Drosophila melanogaster: one gene and its partner. The protein of the gene in region 1 interacts with the protein of each later gene in a pairwise test. Each region holds a gene or a part of one and is shown on either strand. Other genes may lie near its edges.

Region 1 (7,897 bases):
AACGCATTTGTGCCACCAGTTGAGATGCAATAAATCAATATCCACCGAATGCTGGACTGCAGTTTCTGTTGTGGGTACCGCTTCGCTCCGCTGACTGACTGGACATCCGCCCCAGGATCCTTGGAGAAGCCTCCGTAAATCACAGACAATTGGATGACCATGAGGGCAAAACTTTTAGCTAGCCAAAGTATTTGGCCAACTGTTGTAAAACAATAAAACGGAAGGCATGCGATGGGCAAAATGGGAGTGGCAGTGAGGGCGACTGGGGCGGAAAACCGATGCCGAGATTTTCAAATACTTAACACCACTTAAGCGAACAGTTGGACAATGACAATGACGGGGGATTCGGATTGCGATTGGGAATTCCAAAGAGTCCAAGGTGGGGATTTGATTGTTAAGCGTAATTTAGCGCAAGAATTTTTATTAAAATTTCCAATTTGTTTGCAGATAAACTTTTATGCTGGCCGCAATGAGTTGACTGGGTGATCGATGGACTGTGCTGCTAAATGGTATAATGGTTGGGCACGCAGTTGAATGAAACCTAAGACTATATGAAGATGACAAGGGAGTTATGAATGTCTGAGCTTTCCCTTTTAGAACAGAGCAAGTTTCCGTGGTCTCGAACTCCCTAACTGCGTTCATTTGACTATGAGCCCAACTATATGAGAAGGCTGCAGGGTCAGAGGTTTGAGCAAGTGGCGCACAAGTATTCCAGGTATTCAAACGGGCAACAAAAGAACAATGGACCCGAGAAGTTGGCAACCAGGACATGTGCAGCCAATGCGCAATATCGGGAATAAAGGGCGTAACACGGCGTATCCTTGCTCAACAGCTGCCATAAAAGTTTTACTCCAACGAGGCCTCCAAGCACCTTCAACACTTGGGGAGGCCACTAATTAAATTAAATTTTCGGCTTCACATTCGCTCGATGAATTAAGTGTCATGTCAAAGGTGAAAGGTAAGGGCTCCATGGGCAGAAGACTTTCGTGCGGAAAGCATTTCCTTGCGAGTCCTGTGGACACGGTCCGTTCAATTAATTTGGCCACAAACTTTGCTCGGGCTGTTGTTTGCCCAATTTGATGGCTGAAATTTTCGGCCCGGAAGGAGTTTCGTTCATGACAAACTTGTTGCTCCCGTTCTTTGGGGAAATTCCCAGGTCTACCGAGTTCTGAACCCTTGTCAAACGAAAAATGAAGCTCCGCTAAGGTGTCAAAGACATTCTGGCCATCAATTTCATCAGATCGGAACCCCTTTCGACAGCTCAATACTCTCGTAAAATGAATTCAAATTCTAATTCAAATTTGGTGCCCATGCATTTGGTGGTTTTCCCATTTTTATTTTTGCATTTCAGTTGAAGTGGCCACTGCACACTAAAATTTTGTCGGTTAATTACGTTCACGGCTAATTGCATTTCTGTGGCTTAAAATGCCGCAAAATTTGTTAACAAAATATTTGCAAAAACATTTTTGCACAATTAGCCCGATCATTGTGTGTTTTATGCCGCATGTCCGTGTGCGTATTCATTATGCGCATTTTTGCACCCGTAAAATGCGAAACTAGGATGCCCGTTTAAATTACAATATTGGCGTTTTTGTGGTTGACTGCATTTTTAATTATCTCAATCGGAAATATCGACAGCGGGGGTGTATTTTTCCTGCTTCGCCAAAGGAGCAGCCCAGGCGAACTTGAAGGATCTTCGCTCCTTTTCAATTGAGCTCCTGCGCTTGGTCACCTGGGTGCTCTTGTCCAGCAGCAACGATAGCTCCGATATAGATGGAAGTTCCATGGTATCAAAGTTCTTCAATGTCAGCGCTTCGTCCACCTTCTGGGTGTACTTCAATAGCTCCCCGTGGCATTTCAGTAGCGTTTTCCGGGATTTACTCAGAGCGCTTACCAAGTCATTATAATCCTGCTTATTGCATATAAGAGGGGCCTTGAGGTTGGATGATAGAATTAGTATTTATAAATAGTATGCTTAGAGAGTTGCCAATACCTTTGATGCGAAACAGAACTTCATGTTGGTTTGGATGGGTCGGACGAAGTTGTCACTGTAGTCGAGGTAGTTTCCTCGGGAAATGTCCAGGTCATTATATCGCTCCAAACACAATCCCGTGTTGTGCTTCAGTTCCTCCTTCCACTTGGGCACTTCGAGCAGCCTCTTGGACAACTTTCTGATGCATCGGATGTTTTTCCGTGCCTTTTCGTCCAGTCCAGTCAGAGAGTCAGTTGTCTCCTTGAGTTGGCGATTTACGTCGATGATCTGCTGTAAAGCTCGTACTGTGTCCTGTTGTACTACTCTCAGTTCGTCGTTGTCCGAGCTAGACTGCTCGATGTCCAGTCTCATCTGGTCACTTTCTGGAGGACATTCGACTTTGTTTACTTGTACTGGATGAATTAGGAGGCTCTTCAAATATAGCACACGTTCTCTCATCCTTTCCAGCTTATCGAAAGTCTTTGAAAGTTCCAACTCCGATGGACACTCCTCTTCTTGAATTGGTATGTTATCTAGAGCGGAGATGCTGCAGTGGGTCAGTTCAGATTCACTAGGAGTTTCTAGCAGTCCAGGAGCCTTGCAGTCCATATTTTTAATTTTTTTTTAGCTTACTAATATATGTTCTGTGTAGTGTGAATGTGTACTAAGTCATGGAGTGCTCTGATAAAAATATGCTATATTACTTTTGAATTTTTTTTATTCAATAAACTTTGTGTGTTGCATATGAATGAAACTAAGAAAGTAAAGAATACCTTCCATAAAGTTTTACGTTTTAACGGTTCTTTAAATTCTTAATTTATTTACCTAATAAAATTACTTATTACCAGGATGTTAAGATCATTGTTTCCAGTTTTGGTATTTATGCCTTCAGCGTTTTAATGAAAATGCCTGGCCAGAGTGCCACAAAGTATGTAGCTCGCACAATGTTGCATGCAGTAGAGATTCTTCTACTTCGGAAAAGGGCACACACCTGAAATTTGGCCAAAAGGGGCTGAAATTCCCTGCTGCTAATGATTTTTAATAGCCAAATTGCAAGAAGCTGATGCTGCAGTGGGTCTCAGCTGCCTTCGTCCTGGAAATGCCTCTTAAAAGCGTATTTGTGGTAAGACTCCAGGCACACACACACACACACACACAAATTCTCTCCATGCGGTCAATAAAGTATGCAAAGTGGTAGCGGCAGGTGAGGGTAAATGTGGGCGGAAATGTGGGTGGAGTGACCATGCTGACCTTAAAAACAAATTAGTGGCGCTTACTCAACAAGATTGAGTGGCTCGTGTATCGCTGTCATCGCCGTCGTCATCATTGGTATTCTGCTTTTTGATCAGGGGCAAAATCAGAAAGGGGGGTTGGATTTTATTAACCAGATGTTATTAAACCCTCAATTTCATAATAATATGGATTTAAATATGTTAGCTAGATAAATCATTTGTAAATAATAGTCATCTAAAATGAGATCTAAATATTAACATATTTACTTTAGCTAGTGTATAACTGTATTTTACTTATTTGATTACCAAATCAATTAAAATAAAGTCAATTAAATTGCAAGCATTGATGAAACCAAAATCCATATTAATGAATCTAATTATGAACCCCTTAATTCATATTTTTTCGCGCCACTGTCCATCGACTGCGTACTTTGCTCTTGCAACCGAAGCAAAAAAGGAGGAAAAAATCGGAACTTAATTAATAAAAGAGCCTGCGGCCGTTGCTCCTTGATCCTGTGACTGCCTACAGCATCCTGCTGCCAGAATGCATCTATTTATAGGACCCCATATATTAAGTGATGAATATTCATGCGTACTCAGGGGCCAACAAGGAAAGAGAACTACGACCACTCCGATGACGCTGCAAATCAACAGTCGAGCATAATTTTTGTTAATAAAAGCGTGTAATAATTTGCCGCCAGCCGAAAACATGAGTCGCGGGTCGGAAAGGGGGAGGGGGGGTGCCGAAATGCCCAGAATGTGTTGCAAATGAAATTATGTAAATGTGACAGCGGCAGCAGCAACAACACAGATGTATCTGCAACTGAATTTTGTATCCTTTTTGGGGCGACGAACAGCGGTTGAACCACGAATACAATGGAATAGAGGGGACACTGGTGGTGGGCGGGCACAATGCCTACCACATTCTCTGCCAAAACATGGCTTAATGTTGATTAGATGAATTAAACATGCAAAGCCCAAAACCAGCAGCAGTTGTTGTCGTATTTGGTATCTCTGGGCCAAACAATAAACGGCAGCATAAAATAGATATGTCCGTCCATTGCGTATTTACTGGGCTTGTGGGGTTTTCTGGTGGAAATGAAATTAGTGCAGCCTTTTAACTTTTGCGCGGCAATTGAATAACTTTAATTGGTAATAAAACTAATACCACATTAAGCCGGAAATTGCGAAACTGCAGATGGCAAAGCCAATAGCCAATTGCCAATCACCAATCACCAATCACCAGGGTCGTTTCAAAGGGGTAACTACACAAATCCGCAATTCCCCTTTTTGGCCGCAAGCTGTTTACGATCCTGCCAACTTTAATAGTAAATAACAACAATAACAAGCGCCGCAGGAGCAGCTGCTCAAAGTTTCAGAACAATACAAAAAAGAAAAGGGAAATTCAGGGAAAACCAGCAGTAGCTATACCCAGAGAAAAATCGGAGGAAAGAAAAGTTGGAAAACACTTTACTTTGATGACCGTCCAAGTCTTATGCTCTCGACGTTGTCGCCATGGCTGCCATTCAAATGGCTCGCTTAATTTTACCCTCACCGCGGGGATTGTGGCAACTTTTTAATGACTCCTGGACATATTGTCCGCCCAGGTTGTCATTTCATCTACGCCTCGTCGGGTGACAGGCTCAGTGCGATGGAATCCACTTTTCGGGAATGCCAATGTGACAGTTTTCTTTTAGGTAAAAAATCGGTGTTTCTATAACCTGGAAATTGTAAAACAGATTCCAAAGGAAGTACGACAAGGTTACAAGAATCTATTAAAGCAGAAAATATGTAAAATTTGGAATGCTAAGGTAGTTTTCTTACAACGAAAAAATCACTAGTAATATTACTACTGATGCGCATTTAGAAATCTACATTAAATAATATTTCATACCAGATCATAAGATTAATTTGAGATTTTTAGAACTTCTTCACACCTTTGTATTCCAAACGAAATTAACAAATTGCTTAGACATAAAGTTTGTATTGTATTTATTTAAATATTCCTAAAATGAAAGGGCACCAAATAGTCAGCGATGAGGCAGATCGACTGCATCCATTTTTTCAGCCGATGGCTAGGCTCAATCATTATTGATTTCCTGAGTGGATGCCCCAATCGCGTTCGCAGACTTATCTGGAAAAGGGTGAGCTCCAAGTAGCACTTGGGGCGCTTTGACAAAAACTTTCTTTTGTACATATTATTTATGCCCGGCTCCCGGGAGCTCGAGGTGGCGGTGGATTGGATGAAATGGGTGGTCAGGGGTCCCCTCAATACAAGTGGCTCCTGTCACGGCTGTTATTGCTCTTTTATTTGTATTGGCTTTGGGCCTGGTTGCTACATTTTTTAATTTATGTAGCAGCTGTTGCTCCGGCGTAAATGTCAAATGCATTGGTTTGCTTTTTGTTTTCCTTTTTAAAGGGGCGGTTGGAATTGGGAGAAATGGTATAGAGGGGTATAGAAAGTCAAAGCCGAGGACTCATAATGTGTTAAGTTTTTGCCCCGACGAGTGAGTGGCTCGTGCTCGAGTTGTTGGCAAACAGTTTGGCTCCTTGGCCAAAACGCCGCTCCACTTCGTCCAACTTCGAGCTTTAAGTGGCACTGAAAGTTTTACCCAAAAGAGGCCAGCAAACTAATTATTTAGTTTCGCTTCGTTCCGTTTGGCAGCGGCAAATGCCAAACGTCAGCCAAATATCAATAAAAACTCCAATCGAGATCTATTTCAATTAACTTGTTAAGAAACTTTTTAATTAACGGCACTGCAGCTCCTGTACAATTCCTTTTCCCTTCTATTGCCCCGCTGAATACAGCCTGAATTTATGGCTGCTCCTAATTGGGCAACAATAAAGCAAAGGAAAAAGGACTTACATGGGGGGGGGGCTTTAGAAATGGACGAGTCCTGTGATATGTAAATGTTTATAAATCAAGTTGCGACTGTTGGCGGTGACAAGTGGTCGGCCGAATGGTCGGACACTTGAAATAAATAAATAAACGAGCCGGCGACCTGTGTCCTGGTTAGTTCAACATTCCGATTCCCCCTTTCATTCCGTTTCGATATATTGTAGTTCCACTTTTACTTTTACCCTCATCAAAAATAGACTGAGGGGTATTTTTTCAGCCTGACACCTTGTGATTTAAAAGCCGCAACATATGAGTCGGGGATCCATGGTCTTAGTGATTTATACGGACCCCGTTGATTTACCGCCACAATGGCTATTAGTGGGTCCAGAAATCCCACTCCCCAGAATCGACACTCGATTTGCTGCTGTCGACAATTACATTGTCTAGACCAAGGCAACTGTCAAAACTAGATGCTTCTCCAGGACTCTGAGGACTTTGGGGCAAGTCGAAGGCATTGACTTCAAGTCGATTATAGAAATGACAAAAGCAGCTTGGCAATACAAAGCTAAGTAAATTCGAGTTTTTTAGCCGCTTGATAAATTGTGATTGTGCCACCGGCTTGGAGCTATTAATAAGATAAATGAGCGTCAATAAGTGGCGCTGGCACTTCGATTTCATTCCCGGCTGACTTTTCGACTTCCTCTGGTACAACGCGGCGTATGCGTAATTACCATTTCATATGCATTAAGAGGAGCTTCAGTCAACCCAACCGTTTAATAGTCAAATAAGTAGCACAGAGGAATACGCCTATAATATAAATACTATGCGATTTTATCTACCTTTGAACAAAGTTACAAAAAATGCATATTTTTTTATAATAAATAGCTTGAAGCTGTAAGAGCAAATTTCATTGCATATTCAGTATAGTACACTCATTATTTTATTTTTCAAATGAACTTACAATTTTTTTAAGTGCTCTTGGATAAATTACTCGTATATGAGGTAGATGGGGAAAAAGGAGCGGAAAAGGGAGGTTCAAAGTGGGTAAAAGCGAACTGAAGCAGGAGAATCCGTTCCGATGTCATTAAGCGCATTTGAAAAATCATCAACAATACAAACGCGATGCGTTGACAATGCTGCCAGCTTGGACGCTAGCGAAATAAAAAAATAAAAATGGAACCGTATCAATAAATTGAAATGCGATCAATAATAATTATGATTGGGATTGGGCGATTGGACGATTGGTAGCCAGACATGCGAGGCGCGGGAAATTCTCAAAGTGAATACACCGAATAATTGCGTTTCCATGCAATTGCTCAATTCCACAAGGAGTCGCTGCCTATCGGGCACAATAGGGCGATTATCGATAAGTGAAATGGGGCTGCAGAAATAATCATTAAAGAATGGCTCCTCGCAAAACGGATGACACACTCAAGTTCTCAAAGGGCGATGGAAATAAGAGCTTCGGGCTTTTTCCAGAGATGAATGCTTAACAATTACTTATCGGCGGAAATTAAGTACTTCAATGGATAGAACAAATGAAATTTGTATTTTATGAAGCTTTTTATATATGTTATTAGCAATCAACAATGATTACATTTTAAATACATTAATATTAAATACGTTTTTCTAAAATTCACCGCGAAGTTGCAACAATTTTTCTATTTAACAATTACTATCTTTCATAAACCATTGTGCATAAATCCATTCAGCCATTGTGATATCCCGCAGAGTTCCGACCGCAAATTCCCATCGATGTTCCCATTGTTCCGGTTCCCTACTTTCCCACTGTCCCGATACAAATGTATATATATAACTATATATATGTATATATAAGTATGAGTAGCCACGAGC
Region 2 (9,100 bases), on another chromosome or scaffold:
TGTGCGGGATTTCATTATAATATACAATTATTCCTGTACATCACGATGTTTACACTCGGGCCTAACTCGTGAATTCGTAGATTTCAGGATCTCCTTTATAATTAGGAAAACTTATACCTTCAAGCGTGATAAGTGATCTTAAGATCTTTTATTGATAAAACCGAATGCAGCTAATTAGATTTTGAATTGATTTCAAGATTACTGACACTCCGCTCCGCATAACCTTCTTGGTGCGATTGCTCCTAACTCGTGAATTCGTAGATTTCAGGATCTCCTTTATAATTAGGAAAACTTATACCTTCAAGCGTGATAAGTGATCTTAAGATCTTTTATTGATAAAACCGAATGCAGCTAATTAGATTTTGAATTGATTTCAAGATTACTGACACTCCGCTCCGCATAACCTTCTTGGTGCGATTGCTCCGTGTTAATTCCCCCCAGTTTGTGCTGACTATGAGCAACTGCCTCTGCTTCTCCGGCGACTGCCTTCTGTAATTTATTTCTGATTTCGGGTTTGCGCCATGCGTGGCTGAGCATTAGAGGCGCTTGCACATTTTGCCAGCACATAAATTAACATAAAGAGGCGGCAAACTGCGAGGTGAAAGGGGCCTGGGGGCGTGGCAGAGTGGGTTAGTGGGGGGGGGGGTTATAACCCTCCAGGGAGGCCCTGCGGCGATTACGTGACATTGAACCAGAGCCAAAGTGGCTGATTCTGATGGTTTCTAGTCTGCCGTTGCAGTAGTTCTCAATCACAGACGACGAGAGTTCGAGTCACCGTCTAATTGGACAGGGACGCGGACGAAAGGGGTAGGGGGGGGGGGGCTGCACTTAATCCCTTCGTGACATCTGACAATTGCAATTTAGCCGGCGATCCATTGAGAGTCCAGAGTCTCTGGCCAGTCGGCTGATCTATTGTCTCACGGTCGTGTTGTTGGCATTTCATTGTTGATTAGGCAAATACTTACAAAGCAGCAACAAAAAAATGCTTAATTAAACTATTCGTTTGTTTTTACAACTGCCCAATGATGACTCATGTTTGCCGTAAGCTTCTAGTTTCTATACACTTGTTGAGATGAGAAATGCGCAGATTCAAATGAATATAATGCATTTTTAATGTACGCTACCTGGCTAGTTTGGAATATAAAGTATTATTCATAAGCCGCTTTAAACTTTGTAAATATTCGCCTCATTTTCGAACGCGAATTTCATTTCGTTCAGCTGGCTTACAATTACCAAAGCCAGGAAAACAAACACATTCTCGTGTACTTTTTCACCCATTAAAAATAGCAATCACGATACAACGATAAAGTTTTCGTCTAAAATTGTATGGGTTTCAATTGAAAGTGATTAATCATTGGACTGCAAACTAAACACTTGTTGCGCTAAAAAAAATAACAAGTTTCACTGCCTCTTAAAATTGCAGCATCTTTTGAAATTCATATAGAGCCAACTAAAGTTATCACTTCCTTTGAATTTAATTTAATTGTTTAATTTAACACAAGCCAATAGACGTTGCGGTAAAACCTAAAAACCCAACAAAAAGTGCCAAGCTGTTGATTTCATTTTCTACGAATTAATGTAAAGCCAAAGTGACAAGGCCAATAATAAAACTCCTTGGCACAATAAACGAATTACATTTGCCAGCTCAAATTCCAAAAACAAAACAAAAAAATGAGGAAACATTTTATTTTAATTTATATGTAGCCAGTCGGCGTTGTTGTTTTCAATTCAATTTACAATTCATATGAACAAAGTTCAATTTATTTGTTTTCTTTTACCGCAAAAGTCCAAAATTCCAAGGCAATAGGTTAAGTCACTTTAAATTAAAACCCCAAAATGTACGCATTTTATTTAGTTCGCAAAAGTGTTTTCTACTTAAATGATTTGTTCATTCAATTGGCTTTGTTTTCAATGCTTTAATTTAATATGCATTTTCTGACTTGGCTGTTAAATTCGCAAATTAAGCAGTCGGCTTAGATTTCTAGGAAGAACAGATAAAACTTTAAATGTATCTGTGTTATCAACGTTTAGTTTAGTTTTAATTGAATTGTCAATTAGATAGTGTTCTTACATATTCAGAAATAAGACTTGAATTAATCTTCAATTAAATGACCACCAATTTTTCATAACCAGCTTATTGCCCCATAAAAAAACTGTGAGTATTTCCACTTCATAACAATTGCAACTGATTTAGGCCAGACACAAAATGTTAATTATCTCACTATATATCATACAATTTAACCAAAACATTTGTATGGGCTCGAAAATTAACTTCAATTTGCATAACAAAATATCCGTCTAAATTAAACAAATTGCCCGTCTATTCAGCGGCAAATGCCAACAATGAAAAATACATGTAATAATTCACCAATAATTTTCATAATTGTTTTGAGTTTTATTACTCCACACATAGTTCCACGTACGAGCAGCAGAAATTCGAAAAAGGAAAAAAAAAAGTGATTTATGTGAACATGCAATTGCAATTTGTTCTGGGGCAGAGAAAGACATTCCCTGGAAAAAGTTCTTAAAAGCGAATTATGGCCACAATTAACCCAATTCTTTTGGCCATGGGACACTGACATGAAGCGATCTCATAAAAAACCAAATTAAGAAAAATAAGAAAACAAAACAAGCGAAGAAAAGTGCTCAAGAATTTCACTTGCAATCAGCCAGAGAAATTGGGATGACTTGAGTGTATAATATGACAGTTCATTCAACCGATTCCGAGTTTGTTGAAGAATGTAACAATATTAATTTAAATTTGAAATATATAATCCAGAATAGATTAGCCTGCAGATAAATCCAGTATATCCACAATTATCGTGATTTAATTGGTTACGTAAATTATTTTAATTGGATATGATTCTATTCTCAGCATGTTCAGATCGCAAATCATTAATAATTAAATAGAGAAAACAAATGTTTAAACAGTACTAATCTGACTTATATGCACAGTAGTTAGAGTAGCTACTATGTGTATTTTGAAATATGTAATAAAAAACATTGTCTCATCAATTTACGAAATATTTCATTGCAATTTCAAGCACTCATTGCTAAGATGATTCTCAAGCAAGATTTGCCGAAAAATTGTGATTCACGAGTGTTGCATAAAATTTGTATATTCCTGGCAAATGATTTGGACAGCAACGAATTTGACAACTTCAAGTGGCTGTGGCAGCTGCCAACCCGCTGCCACGCCCACTCCCACCATTCCGCCCATCTGTGGGGGTATCTGCGATTCGCTGGCAGCTTCTTCAGCAATTTATGCATTCAAGTGGCAGCCAAAGGCAGCGAACAGCAAACGCTGATGATGACAATAAAGGACGCTGGATCTGCGATGCTGCGCCGAGCATTCCTGATATTTTGCCATTTGTAGTTACTTGTGTTGTATCTGTAAGATGCATTTGGCTGATTGTCAAGTGCCACGCTTTGTTATCAGCATGCTGACATCATTATCCGGCAAAGGCAGCGACTTTAAACTTTAATCTGCTGCAGAGTGGAATTAAAACATTTTTTCATATCCAACAGATTGTATTTACTAATAATTACGTATTATATGCATAATAATTTATTTATATTGCTCCAAGTCACAATTACATCGAGGTAATCTTTAAGATTCTACCAGAATATTCCAGATCAAGAAGGTATAAGAGGAACGTACTACGTAGAAGAGTGCAAATCAGAATTCCCGGTGCTTATCAATTTTCTTTGTTTTTAAAGTCAAAAGGTTGACTGTGTTTTTTAATAACTAATTATGTGCACATAAAAATGAGAAAGTAAAGAGAAGGAAAACAAATATGTATGTTGCATATGTGTACAAATTGCATATTAGTTAGTTCCGTTATACGTATTACTTAGGGCAAGTTAACATTTAGTTTTCAAGTATTAATCATTTAAATGTTAATTTATGAAGTGCATCATGATTGGATTGCTTTTAAGCCTTTCACTTACCTGGCAATGTGAAAACGCCGCTAAGGGCTAGCACGGTCATCAGCAAACCGAACAAGAGCTTCATTTTTGTTTGGTTTTTTTTTTTTCACAAGCTTATAATTTGTTTAATTTGTATAGTTTATTTAGGGCTGAAAGCTTTGATGCGTTGATGTGGACCGGCAACCGGATTCGATTCTGTTCAGTTTTGTTCTGTGCGGAAAGACAAACAATCGTCAAATGCGCTTAAATGATTTGAGGAAGCGGCAAATAAACGGCGGCCGGCTGAGTGAGTGAGCGAGTGAGAAACCGAGTGAGTGACTAGCTGACCGCTCTCTTGCTCTCCCTCTCACTCAATTAGCCGCTGGGCTTATAAATATTCCAAATGGCAGGCGGCAAGTGTTGTGGGAAGAGCGCTACACTGTGCCCGTCAACTGGGTACAATATTTGGGGACTCCACTGTGTACAGAATGCAGCGTATTAGTAATGTTCTTAGGCACATTTAAGTTAACTTTTATTTTCGTTACACCTTTTTGTTTCCGTTATAGCTTACTGGTTCATTAACTATTGTATCTACTACTATAAAAAATATAATATAATATAACTTTATCTTTATAATTATATATATATAAAAGCAGTTCTAAAAGGGCATTTGCTACTAATATTTTAAAATTTCGATTAAAAGGGTGTTTGAAAGTCGCCGTTGCTCATTGAACCTTTTGTAAATTTAGTTGTGTTTTCAATTTACTTAATCAGTTTTTGTCTATGCTTCGTTAGCTGCACGCGGGCTTCTCTATTCCACTATATTTGTATTTCAGACTTTAAATGTGTCCCTGTCACAGTTGCTGAATGTTTCAGTCGCCCCATTCGTATTTCAATTCCACTTCGATTGCATTGTATGGAACTATGTCTATTCAACGGCTGCTCGAATCACCTGTTAAATGCGCTTGGTGTTTAGTTCAAGGTTGTTGTTTCTGTAAACAAAAGCATCATTTGCTTATTTCCCTAATGGGCAGCTATTGAGAATTTTCTTCCAAGGAAATGAAAACGGAGCTAAAGACTATTCTCAGTAATTAAATGGTTATGATAGAGTGCTTCTTTTTAATTCCATCGATAAAGTAGTCACGCCTTGATTGAGCCGGGTTTAATCACGATTTTACTAACGAATATGCCAAAGATCGGCAATTTATTGGAAATCTTTAGTTAATCCGATTATGAATGATCTTTTTGACCCGAGAGAACTTACGATATAACACCCAATTACAGTTCTGATAAATATAAAAAGCCGTAAAGAATTTGTATAATTATACACTGATTTAAATCTAGAATGTATTATAATCTCAAAATGAACTGGAATTTTTGCACATCAGAAAATTATTTAAATATCTTGCCCGACAGTAAATTTTTCAAGGTCTTCAAAATTAGCAACTATAAACTTTAAATAGCATTTTTAATGTCTGATAGTTTTAGAAAGCTATTGTTTATGTTGGGCTCAGCATAAAAGTGAGCACAAGTAAATATTTCGCAAACAGCTGCGTGAAGTAAATTAGGCATCCAAATTATTGCCCAGACAGCCTAAACAAGCTGCAAATTGTTTGTTTGTAAACATTTTTGTCAGCGCCGAAGCGGAAATTGTTCACGCACACAATTTCATTCACATACACATGCCGACAACCGCGAATTTGCATAAATTTTATTATTGTTACCGGTGTCATACAGTTATTTCTGTGGATCGCTTGAATCACTCGATTTCGAAAGATCGGAGAAGAACGCGCGATCTTCAACGTGCGTTGGCTTTAATGAAACGTTTCGGACTAAACGGTTGCGTACGATTTTGGCTTCATTTATACCAGCTCACGTCGTTGGCACTCAAAAAAAAACAAAGAATTGAGAAGAGAGACCGGGAAAGGGAGGAATGCGCAGAGAAGAATACGAGAGCGAAGAAGGGTCTTCCGAGTGCTCCAAATGTGCATTCAACAATGTTTTAATTAAAAAAAAAAAAGAAAAATAACTAAAGAACTTTCAATTTTATATTTTTACAACAGATCCACTACCAAAGATGCCCCATCCTGTTTACCCAAAAAGTAGCAGAAATTTTACAAAAAGAATATTCATTGACACGTCAGTGGGAGCAAAAATGAATGTCGCCAGCGGAACGCGAATGTCCTCCAGTGCAGTCCCTTGACCAAAACCGTTGGAGTTCGAGGTGTATGTATAAAAATCAGAAATTCAAAGCGGATGGCCGACAGCGCCGAGAAAGAGGCGGGGATATAGTTAGCGACAAGGAACGCGCGCCAAGCTACGTTCTTGGATTGACAATGAAGTCCACCTGCCCCCTTTTACCTGAACTTGCCTCTTGGGAGCCGTGTTGCTTTATGGTTTTCGACCAGATTGAAATCGCGATCGGCGCAGCTACAGCTGTTAAAATCTCCTGCAGGCTGCTCTTCATGCTCTACAACTTGTAATTCTTGTCGTGGTCCCACGAACCGGATTCTGTTTTAACTACACTTTCGTTGGTTTTATTCGAACTGCTATTTTCGTTTTACTAAATACAGGTTTGATTGCACTATGCCTTTAAGTGGCAGAGGAGCATTTAAAATAAATTACCATTTTCGGTTAATCGTTGACACAACATTCTTGCGGTCGAGTCAATAAATTCCCCAAAAAACAAGATTTGGTTGTCAAGGCTTCGAAGTGAGAAGAATTTGAGTCAGCTTAGTCCTACATATATTTAAGTGAGTAAAGCTTGGCTTTTAGGACCAACGATATTTTAAAATATCAGATTGACTTGTTTTTAAATAAACTATTTACAATGCTATGATCTTCAGGTAAATATCGTAGTATATTTTCTATTTTTTTATATATACTAATTATATATATTTTTCTTTATCATTTGCAGTCTCTTAATTAGTCATAAATCTTTCGAATTTAAATTTAGACACCGGATGACAGACAGAAACACTCACAGATTATAACGAAACGTGCTCTTGACCTTGACACTGTTGGAAAAAAATGAAGTACCCATATTCAGATATTTATTTTAGGATTGAATATTTTTAGAATGTTTTAAATTTCCTTGATAAACTTTATTCTTGCGCCATCTATGTACTTGCAGAAGACGCTGATACTAGCGCCACCTGGCAGCAGTAGGTTCTTAACATTTCTGTTAATTTTACAGAGCTGGAAATATGCTGGCTGTTCGAACGAGAGTTGCCAGATGAATTTAGACGTTGCCTTGGTAACGGTTTTCACTTGATTTTATTGTCGAAATAAAATAAATAAAGAAGGAAAACAAATATAAGGGACTAAAATAAAATAATAATGTTTCGTCGTGGAAAACTATCCTTTCTAAACACCAAAGATGACCGTGTTAAAATAATAAACGAGCGCATAAACATAACAGAAAGGCATCTAATGGAGATGTGCTCTTCGTTTGCTTTGGTAACGCGGAAAATGGCCAAGTGAGTTTGGTAAATAAATAAATCTGAATGAATAATCATAAGACCTTGCAGATATCGGGACTCCTTTGATGAGTTGGCCAAGAGTGTGAAGAGCTACGCCGACGACGAGGAAATCAACGAGAGTCTCTGTCAGGGACTGAAGAGCTTCACCAACGCGGTTACCATAATGGGTGATTACATGGACATCAATGTACACCGATTGGAACACAAGGTGAATTATCCTTTTTTAAATCTGCATCTTATATCATATTATTGACTTATGTAGATTGTCAACGAGTTGGCGCAATTCGAGCAGCTTTGCAAGTCCACAAGGGACAATCTTCGACTGGCTGTCATAGCGCGGGATAAGGAGGTACTACGTCAGCGCCAGATGCTTGAGCTCAAGTCAAAGTTTTCTGCGAACAATGTGGGTATTAAAACGAACAATTTACTTCTTATATAATTCCCAAAACTTACCGTAGAGTGCCGCCGATTCGGAGCTGTTTAAGGCCAAAATGGAGGTGCAGCGCACAAACAAGGAGATAGACGACATTATTGGCAACTTCGAGCAGCGGAAGTTGCGCGACTTAAAGCAGATAATCAGCGATTTTATACTGATCGCCATGAAACAGCACACCAAGGCATTGGAGATACTCAGCGCAAGCTACTATGATATTGGAACCATTGATGAGCGCGACGATTTCATTGAGTTTCAGAAACTCATGAAGACCAAAGAAGAGCTGGCTTCCAGGAAAACTGCACTCAAAAAGGGACTGCGCTCCCAGTCGATGGATAGCTTGGAGCACGAGCACCTGGTCAGTCCGCTCAAGAGGCGCCCGAAGTTGTCCAGGAGCAATAGGAATCTGACGGGAGCCGGAATCAATCATGGAAGTAAAACAGAACCCGAAGATGAAACCGACGAGCAGGATGAAGAGGAAGATGATGAAGATGAGGTATGATTTGGCATGATTATGGAATGATAGAATAACTCCATTCCTCCCAAGGAAACCGAGCAAAGTGGCGAAGAGGACGAGGAATCTGGAACGGCAACGGATGACGAGAGGGAACCCACGCAGCCGGGCAACCAGGTTCCTCCGCGGGAGAATGTTTTTGGGGCCAAGATCCGATCTGCCAGCAAGGATATAGCCACGCCATCGACCAGTGCCAGTGCCACTTCTGCTCCTTCGAAGCCCAGCAGACAAACGGTCAAACATCCATTCAAGGCGGTGGCCTCCACCCATGTAAGGCTGCAGAAGCAGTTCCACGTGCCCCAGCACTAGCACTCAAATTATGACCAGTAGTAGAGTTCCTAGAGCTCACATCAGTATTGCAGGCACATTCTGGAATCGTAGCAAGAGCTTAAATAAAATTGAATTAGGAACATACTTCTAAGGGTTTATCTTAATTGGTTTTTGTAACCCCGCAGTCTCAGAGCTTCCTTTCATAATTTAATCAGAATGTATTACCACTCTCTATCTCATTGCCTTAAAAAACATGATATGTAGAAGCAACACAAATTGCAATTAATATTCGAAAATCATTCTGGTCCACAAATCAATGTTGATTTTCCTTTTAAAAGTAGGGATTGTTATATAGCACTCCTTGCCATTCAGCGCTGATTTCCATACACTTTTTATTAATGGACACGGGTCACGATTTGCATTATTTGTCCCAGATAAACAATACTAAATATATGCATATCATAACTAATCAAGCGGAAATGACGCGCTTCT

Evidence for each region. Proteins that work in one complex are often made in the same cells at the same time.
Region 2: the proteins of CG8065 (region 1) and vir-1 interact in a two-hybrid assay, tested with the Drosophila melanogaster proteins (one large-scale study listed by BioGRID).

Annotation. Positions count from the first base shown.
Region 1 is NT_037436.4:10,210,396-10,218,292, reverse strand, and holds CG8065 (uncharacterized protein), read right to left. Parts: upstream 2,629-7,897; 5' UTR 2,582-2,628; coding exon 1,994-2,581; intron 1,934-1,993; coding exon 1,619-1,933; 3' UTR 1,313-1,618; downstream 1-1,312.
Region 2 is NT_033779.5:12,417,690-12,426,789, forward strand, and holds the start of vir-1 (virus-induced RNA 1), read right to left. Parts: upstream 5,751-9,100; 5' UTR 5,634-5,750; intron 4,174-5,633; exon of another isoform or gene 4,141-4,173; 5' UTR 4,016-4,140; coding exon 3,952-4,015; intron 1-3,951. Other genes in the region: Fam92, read left to right, coding at 7,249-7,388, 7,440-7,599, 7,654-7,794, 7,850-8,320, 8,372-8,647.